2 linked regions of the Macaca mulatta genome follow. The protein of the gene in region 1 interacts with the protein of each later gene in a biochemical or structural test. Links are inferred from orthologs where the notes say so. Each region holds a gene or a part of one and is shown in the gene's direction. Other genes may lie near its edges.

What was found. The genes of interacting proteins can lie anywhere in the genome.
Region 2: the proteins of BLNK (region 1) and CD79A form a complex in vitro, tested with the Homo sapiens proteins (2 studies listed by BioGRID). The link is inferred for Macaca mulatta from reciprocal best matches to the Homo sapiens genes BLNK and CD79A.

Annotation. Positions count from the first base shown.
Region 1 is NC_133414.1:108,279,396-108,283,897, reverse strand, and holds the start of BLNK (B-cell linker protein), read left to right. Parts: upstream 1-1,123; 5' UTR 1,124-1,294; coding exon 1,295-1,341; intron 1,342-4,502. UniProt on the Homo sapiens protein: Functions as a central linker protein, downstream of the B-cell receptor (BCR), bridging the SYK kinase to a multitude of signaling pathways and regulating biological outcomes of B-cell function and development.
Region 2 is NC_133424.1:52,914,276-52,918,777, forward strand, and holds the start of CD79A (B-cell antigen receptor complex-associated protein alpha chain), read left to right. Parts: upstream 1-1,830; 5' UTR 1,831-2,051; coding exon 2,052-2,130; intron 2,131-4,502. UniProt on the Homo sapiens protein: Required in cooperation with CD79B for initiation of the signal transduction cascade activated by binding of antigen to the B-cell antigen receptor complex (BCR) which leads to internalization of the complex, trafficking to late endosomes and antigen presentation.

The DNA of each region.
Region 1 (4,502 bases):
AATGTTGGAAATGTGTACTTTATTCCACAAGAGTGAGCAGGGCATTCTCGATGGCTGCAAAAAAGTATGTCCAGGAACAAAAAGTTCCTCCCATTTTCTTCCTCCCTGACCCTAGACTGCAGGCTGCTCTTTAAACAACAGATAAATCAGCATGTTTCAGATTAGGCAGAAGGAAATGTCAAGTCTTCCAGGAGGGAAGTAGAGTTCTCTGAATACGTTCAGCCCCTACAGGTATGGTTCCCTCCTCCCAACCTCACCCCACCTGTCTGAGCTTGAGATGGCCTCGTGTCTGGCGTGTCACTGGCTGTGATGAGCAAGCGGTGGACAGGACAGGAAGAGGCAAATGCAAGGAGGGGAGTGGCATTCTGCTTTTAGGACTTCAGAATGGCCTGATGTAGGAATTGCACTCTTGTGAAACTGTTAGATTTGTTCTCATCTGACTTTTGGGTACATCCTGGTTTGTTTGAAAGCATCTGGCTATCGGCAAGGTAACTCCTGACTCTACCAGGCAATAAGGAGGCTGCACATCTTACGACAGAGTTCATCTCCCCTTTCCTGGGTCACCCATCCCTACCCGCAGATGAACAGAGAATTGCCCATCCCATTTTAAATAGAGCTCCAGAAAAAGAGAGACTCTAATTCTCCGAGTAAACTGTTACCACCATGTCACTGCCACCCTGATATTTATTTTTAAACATATTGCTCGCATCAGGGGCGGGGAGGGAAAAGCACAAAAATGCCATTTTTATATAATGGTTCTATAAGTAGAAAAAGCTTATCCATGACTTTATGCAAATAAGCAGAAAGTCTCCAAGAGAGGTTCAGATGGACTTGATTACTCTGCTTTTCCTTGAGCCCAGGAAGTTCCCAGTTATAGCATGCACCTGCTGGAAACAGACTAGATGTGTTTGGGACAAACAGGAAGTAGTGACCAGCCAGAAACTTGTCCCAACCTTGTTACAAATCTGATTGTAAAAGAAAGCAGCTGGAAAGAAATTTGCATGCCCAGTAGGTTTCACTATTAAAGTTTACAGAACGTGGAGTAATCATCAAGCTGGCTGGCTATCCAGATCACATGATTATGTAGAAACATGAAACTTGACTATGTGCTCGGGCAAGTTTTACTTCTCCCTAGAGCAGGGGTGTTTGCCAGCAGCCTGCACTCTCAGAAGTCAGACTTGAGTGGCCGGAACCCTTGAGACCAGAGGCTTACCATGCTGCTCCTTAGGAGGGCCAGGAACTGCTGACGTGACCACTGGACACTTATTCGTGTCTCTTACAATTACCAAACAGAATGGACAAGCTTAATAAAATAACCGTCCCCGCCAGTCAGAAGTTGAGGTAAGATTTTCCCCACCCAATACTTACCCTTCTTCATCTCCTTTTTTTTCCCCCAATGCTCTTATGGCATCTCAGAAATACTGAAATCCTGGAATGCTTTGCTAGTTTCCAGTGGGTGGCACTTACTATAGGGAAGTGGACTGAGCTTTTAGGGAAAGCATTGGGTGGCACTTGCTATAGGGAAGTGGACTGAGTTCTTAAAGAAATGTGTAGGAACAAGAGAGACTTGCTTTAGCTACCTCTTACAATAAAGTATGAAGCTCTGGAAAGATAATAAAACAGAAATACCAAGGGCTTAGATTCTACTGAAGGTCAACGTTCAGAGTCTGAGTGCAACCAACTTTTCTAAGGAAGGGTTTCTCTAAACTGAGTCCTCACCCATTTTATTGCAGGTTACTATTTAATTTTAAGGATAGCTGTAATCATTTGTTATTCATTGTTTTATTGTCTCATTTATTTTGTGGGTGTATATTACAAGTGTGTTTGGGGGGATTAGATCTGTCATTCCAATACCCTCATGTCAACGTAACAATGATCTATAACAAGCCTCTTAAAAAGGAATAAACCAGAAGCGGCCCCACGGGCATGAGTCAAGGAGCTATGGAAAAGACAACTTCCCCAAATTTTGCTTTTGAAGGTCGTCTTTTTGTCTCATTGTAATGGCATCATGGCTTTCAGAGACTGGAACTTTTAAAGTTCAGGGAGTGGGTTTTTTTCCCACATTTTTTAACAGTTTTTAAAAAATTATTATTATACTTTTAAGTTCTGGGGTACATGTGCAGAAGGTGCAGGTTTATTACATAGGTATACATGTCCCATGGTGGTTTGCTGCACCCATCAACCCGTCATCTACATTCAGTATTTCTCCTAATGCTCTCCCTCCCCTGGCCCCCAACTCCCTGACAGGCCCCGGTGTGTGATGTTCCCCTCCATTCAGGGAGTGTTTTCTATTCTGACTACATATCGGAACTGAGCCAAATGTTCAGGGGGTGATGTGACACGTGTAGCAGACAAGTAATCCCAGATAACAAGGAGCCAGAGAATTGAAGCTTTTGAGACAATATTTAAGAGAAAGTCTGGAATTGGCAGAGGGACAGCCCTTCACACTAGAATACAGGTCTTATGCCTAGGAGGTGCTTGGTAAAAGGTAATGTGATATGCACCAATGATCTGGGATCAGTAGGCAGTATCAACTGCATTCAACCATTTCAAGAACATGCTGTTGAGTTCTGCTGTGTGATCAGCACTGACGGGACAGGAAGGCACCTCATTCTTGCCCTTGGTCTCAAATAGCTACACCCTCATAAGGGGCAGGGATGATACAATAGAAGCTGTAAGTGACTGAAGGAATGTAAGAAGAGAATTAGAGTAGCAGGAGGAGGTTTCATAGAGAAGATAATTTAAGAGGTAGGCTTTGAGAGGTGGGTAAAATTATAAAATACTGGAGAATTGGAGGAAACATGTATGTGCTGGGAGGGAGGAAATACAGAGGCTGTCACTCAAAGCTTAACACACATACGGTCCATTTGTGGGATGGTGAGGAAAGTTTTCTGTCTAGCGGAAACTATAGAGTAGGGCATGTAGGACCTGAAGGTCCTGGTATAATTGGACACATAGGGCGGGTCCAGGTTGCAAAGGGTGGTGAGGGCCCTAACCATAGGGAGTGTTGGAGAACAGGTTATGCTGTTAGTGATGTCATGACAGCAGGCTTAAAGGAGTCTGGTAGGATGTGTTGGAGTGAGAGGGACACTGGAGGCAGGGATCTGTTGGGAGGGAGGAGCGCTTAAGTAACCCAAGCATCCAGGGCTGTAGGCCTGGACTTGGGGCACAGCAGTGAGAAGGAAGAGGGAAAGAGAGGGAAGAAAGACGTGGCAAAGAAACTAATGAATGAACAGGAGGATTCCAAATGTTTTTTTCAGACATATATCATAATGTAGAACTATACAGAGACGTATTCTCTTTCAGGGAATCCAGATGGGAATTTAAGTAAAGGTGCTAGAACTTAAATCATTTTATGATTCCTCCCTTTGGGACAAAGTCCAGCTTGATCACAGAGCAGCTGATGGGCAATATACAACCATAGATTATGGAATAGAAAACCAAAATTATACCACGGATAATCATATACTACACTCATCTGCTTACATAAAAGTAACTTTTTTCCCACTTGATCACTCAGTTGTCTTTATAGAATCATCACGTTGTGATAAAATGTACCCTGCTGACGTGGAACTTTTCAAAGAAATGAAATTGTAAATTAAATGGGCTCGAAGCACCATCTTAACTCTTTTCCATAATTAGATAGCTGGGATGCTGAGCAGTTAATAGATGAAATACTTGCCTCCTGTGATTTGTGTCCTCTATCCTGACTGGTTGACATCAATTCTGGAGGTTGATTAACAACATAATTATTTGGCACCAGACGACAGCAAAAGTGGACAGTTATGTTTATACTCTTAGGCTTAGGTGAGAATTTGCTCAAATTCTTAGCCACAAAAATAGAAAGACAGTGAGTGTTCATCCAGGGAACTGAAAGGAATGACCTTGATCCAGGGAGTATATTCCCAGGACTGAAAAGAAAGTAGAGAAGAAGGAATTACTAGAAGGTGAGGGGAAGCAGAGTCATCCAAGGAAAGGAGGTCATGCAGGATTGGAAGGAGACAAGGAATTCTCAAAATGAAGGAGAAAGGGAATGTTCTAGATGAACCCATTTGGGGATGGGTCATCACCTTGAGAGTTTCTGCTGTATCAGAATAGAGATAGGCGAGATGGCTAAGTTGCTTGTGACCACAGAGAGGTGTGAGCACAGATTCTCATGTTTTTGCTCCCACCGAGGCACTGCTACAGTAGGCTTCTCTGTTAGTTGGAGTCCATAGACACTCAGAGTCTCTTAGTTGATTCCTAGCCATGATTTTCCCTTAATTGTATGAGGTAAAGATATCATCAGAAACCCGGCTAGACCTGGGTTCTCAATCGTTCCACAGTAAACATTCCTATGATCATAAAAATTTCACCCTTCTAGGGGAACATTTCAAAATTTACAATCCTGAATCACTTTGCAAATATCCCTTTTCAAATTAGTAAAACTAACTTGAAAATGAAATGTTTAGTTTTTAATAATCTCCCAATTGACTCATCATCTGTGCTTGTGTATTTTTCTT
Region 2 (4,502 bases), on another chromosome or scaffold:
ATGGACTTTTCATTTGTTTCTCAATGTTTGCTACCAAAAATCTCCCTGCAATGAATTTATTTTATATATCCCTCGTATGTGTGTGTGAGGGTCCCCTAACTGCTCACAAATATCTCAGCAACTCCGCCCTCCCCACTCAGACCTCATTTCCCTCCTACCAGACATGCTCAAAGGAAACTGGGAGCAACACAAAGACGACTTTGAATCTCTGTTCACCACCCTTAGACTGTATGACACCAGCAAGTAACAACCTCCCCTCTCTGGCCTCAGTTTCCCCATCTGTAAAATGGGGGATGGCCTACCTTGCCCAGTCATGGCAGGTCAATATAAAACAACTTCTGGCTGTGTGCAGTGGCACATGCCTGTAATCCCAGCACTTTGGGAAGCCGAGGCAGGAGGATTGCTTGAGGACAGGAGTTCAAGACCAGCCTGGGCAATATAGCAAGATCCCATCTCTCTAAAAAAAAAAAGAAGAAAAATATATGTTATTATTATTATTATTTGAGATGGAGTTTCACTCTTGTCACCCAGGCTGGAGTGCAATGGTGTGATCTCAGCTCACTGCAACCTCCCCCTCCTGGGTTCAACTGATTCTCCTGCCTCAACCTCCTGAGTAGCTGGGATAACAGGCATGTGCCACTACATCCAGCTAATTTTTTTTTTTTTTTTTTTTTTTTTTTTTTTTTTCTGGAGACGGAGTCTCGCTCTGTCGCCCAGGCTGGAGTGCAGTGGCCGGATCTCGGCTCACTGCAAGCTCCGTCTCCCGGGTTCACGCCATTCTCCTGCCTCAGCCTCCCGAGTAGCTGGGACTACAGGCGCCCGCCACCGCGCCCGGCTAGGTTTTTTTTGTATTTTTTAGTAGAGACGGGGTTTCACTGTGTTAGCCAGGATGGTCTCGATCTCCTGACCTCGTGATCCGCCCGTCTCGGCCTCCCAAAGTGCTGGGATTACAGGCTTGAGCCACCGCGCCCGGCCAATTTTTGTATTTTTAATAGAGATGGGGTTTCACCATGTTGGCCAGGCTGGTCTCAAACTCTTGACTTCAGGTGATTCTCCCACCTCAGCCTCTCAAAGTGACTCTTGCTCCTGCCTGCCTCCGTGAGGCTGTAGACGCCCCTTCTCCTTCGCTGGGCTCCCTACAGCCCCACATTGGCCCAGCTTGGCACAGATACGATTTCTATAGGCATCTTTCCTGGCTCCCCTACCCTCTGCCTCCTCTTCCCTTTCCCTGAGCCCCCTTCCCTCTGCCTGTGCCCTCTCTGCAGCCTCCACATCTCTCCCCACCTCCCGCCACCATACCTGGCCTGAGCGTGAGCCACCATACCTGGCCTGTTTTTTAACAAAGAATTCCAGTAAAGAGCTGATCGTGGCTCTAACTCCTGGAATACCAGAAACACCATCTCATATCACATAATGAGACAGGGAGACATTCTGGTCCTCATCTCACAGATGAAAAATGTCAAGGTTCAAAGGATAAAAGTGCCCACCTAGTCACACGGGTACTCAGCCACAGGTCAGCCTGCCTTATTTATTCTTCATGAGCATTTATAGTGACTAACATTTACTGAGCGCCTACTATGGGCCATTTCTGTGCATGCAACAACCCCTTTTAAGTCCTTGTTTCTAATCAAGAAGCAAGGAAATGGGGTCAGGGAAGGGACAAGGTTTCCCCAAGTCCAGGCAGGGGCAGAGGTCAAGCTCAGAACCATCACCTGCCCACAGCACATGCCCAGGACTCAGGTTCCCTAGGCTTCCTTCCAAAGGCTCAGCAGTGACGAGCCAGCCCTTGAACCAGCCTCTTCCCCCACCCAAGCAGCCACCTCTCAGGGGAATTGTGGCCACCACAGGTGCAGGGAGCAGTTCCTCTCCACTCACAGCCTGAAGCCTACCCGGCAGGGGCTGTCCCCAGGCCCAACAAGTAAAGGGCCCAGCAGCGAGGGCCACTGGAGCCCATCTCCGGGGGGCTGGGCAGGAAGTAGGGTGGGGTTTGGGGTAGGGATCTGGTACCCGGGGACTGCTGCAACTCAAACTAACCAACCCACTAGGAGAAGATGCCTGGGGGTCCAGGAGTCCTCCAAGCTCTGCCTGCCACCATCTTCCTCTTCTTCCTGCTGTCTGCTGCCTACCTGGGTATGTGGCCAAAGGGCAGGAACTGGTGGGAGGTGGGGGAAGATGTGGAGGCTGCAGAGTGGGCACAGGCAGAGGGAAGGGGGCTCAGGGAAAGGGGAAGAGGAGGCAGAGGGTAGGGGAGCCAGGGAAGATGCCTATAGAAATCGTATCTGTGCCAAGCTGGGCCAATGTGGGGCTGGAGGGAGCCCAGTGAAGAAGGGGCGTCCACAGCCTCACGGAGGCAGGCAGGAGCAAGAGTCACCTCCCCCACCTCCTGCTCCCCACAGGCCAAAATAAGGAACTAAAGTTGCTCTTGACTGAGCACGAGGGCTGGGGACAGGAAGGGGACTTGAGGGTAGTAGCATTCAGCGTCTGTCAAGGGGAGAAAAAGCTTTATCTGCCTTAAACCTCAGGTGCCTCTCTGTGTTGGGAGTCCCTTCTGAGCACTGGGGGAACAGATGTCTCATAGATTCCTCCTCACCCGCTCAAGGACAGCTGGCAGGGGCTGTGGCCACGCTAACCCAGGAGTTCAGAGAAGAAGGTTCCCCACCCAAGCGGACACTGGGAGCAAGGATTGGAGCTCACGTCTGAGTCTTAAGCCCATGATGATAAGGGTGCTCGGCCCCTCTCCCCACCTCTTCCTCCTTCTCTCTTCCTCACTTCCCTCCTCCGCCTACCTCCAGAAGAGGGGGCCGGCCATGTGGGAGGCCTGGCTGAGAGCTGGGACTTCCCAGAGGAGCCCAGATTGGACACTGCAGCCAGCCTGAGCAGCCCGGTCTCACTCAGAGACACCCCCAGTCTCCACCCCGCTCTGACCCCCTTCGCTCACCAGCAATCCAGCCCGAGGACTGAACTCACCCCTGAGTTGACACATACAACTTACAGAGAATGAGGGCCAGGCACAGGGTCACAGGCCAGGGCAGGCCACAGACTGGCTCCTCAGCCCAGGCAGGGAGAGGCCAGGGAGCCATGAGTTTGAACCCAGTGCCACTCCTGACTGCCTGGTGATGCTGGCAAACCGCCAGCCCTCCCAGGGCCTCAGCCATCCCTCCTGTAAAATGGGGCTAAGGAGATAACCTACTTCTAGGGTTCTGTGAATGAATACACAAGAAAAAGCGCAAGGTGCAGGGCCTGGCTGAGGCTGGGGTGCAAAAATAGACCGGGAAGGCTGCGGGAGGAGGGGATGCCTGCACTGCTTCTGGAAGGAGCTGTCTGGACAGCGGTCCTCCAGTGCCTTGAACAAACATCCAAAATCCAGAGAGTTCACAGGGCCCAGAGCACAAAGTGGGTATGTGGGAGGGGGGCAAGAGATGGCGCTGCAGAGGTGAGAAGGGCCTCCCAGGGGTCTCACCATCCCAGGGAGTCTCATTCTCCTCCCCCAGGATGTCCTCACCCACCCCAACCAGTTCTGTCCTCTCTCCCTCCCCAGGGGCCTCTTCACTTTCCCGCATCCCCCTCTCCCCAGGATGCATCAGCCCCTGTCAGGGGCTGTCCCTCTCCCCCCCAACCCAGGAGAGTTCTCACCCTCCTCCCCTCCCCACCCAGAATAGTCCTCACCCTCCTCCCCCCCCCACCCAGGAGAGTCCTCACCCTCCTCCCCCCCCCACCCAGGAGAGTTCTCACCCTCCTCCCCTCCCCACCCAGGCATGTCCTCACCCTCCTCCCCCCCAACCCAGGAGAGTTCTCACCCTCCTCCCCTCCCCACCCAGAATAGTCCTCACCCTCCTCCCCCCCACTCAGGAGAGTCCTCACCCTCCTCCCCCCCCACCCAGGAGAGTTCTCACCCTCCTCCCCTCCCCACCCAGAATAGTCCTCACCCTCCTCCCCCCCACCCAGGAGAGTCCTCACCCTCCTCCCCCCCCACCCAGGAGAGTTCTCACCCTCCTCCCCTCCCCACCCAGAATAGTCCTCACCCTCCTCCCCCCCACCCAGGAGAGTCCTCACCCTCCTCCCCTCCCCACCCAGGAGAGTCCTCACCCTCCTCCCCCCCCACCCAGGAGAGTCCTCATCCTCCTCCCCCCCCACCCAGGAGAGTCCTCACCCTCCTCCCCCTCCACCCAGGAGAGTCCTCACCCTCCTCCCCCCCCACCCAGGAGAGTTCTCACCCTCCTCCCCTCCCCACCCAGAATAGTCCTCACCCTCCTCCCCCCCACCCAGGAGAGTCCTCACCCTCCTCCCCCCCACCCAGGAGAGTCCTCACCCTCCTCCCCTCCCCACCCAGGAGAGTCCTCACCCTCCTCCCCCCCCACCCAGGAGAGTCCTCACCCTCCTCCCCCCCCACCCAGGAGAGTCCTCACCCTCCTCCCCCCCCACCCAGGCATGTCCTCACCCTCCTCCCCTCCTCACCCAGGCATGTCCTCACCCTCTTCCCAGGAGTGCTGGAGCTGCAGGGG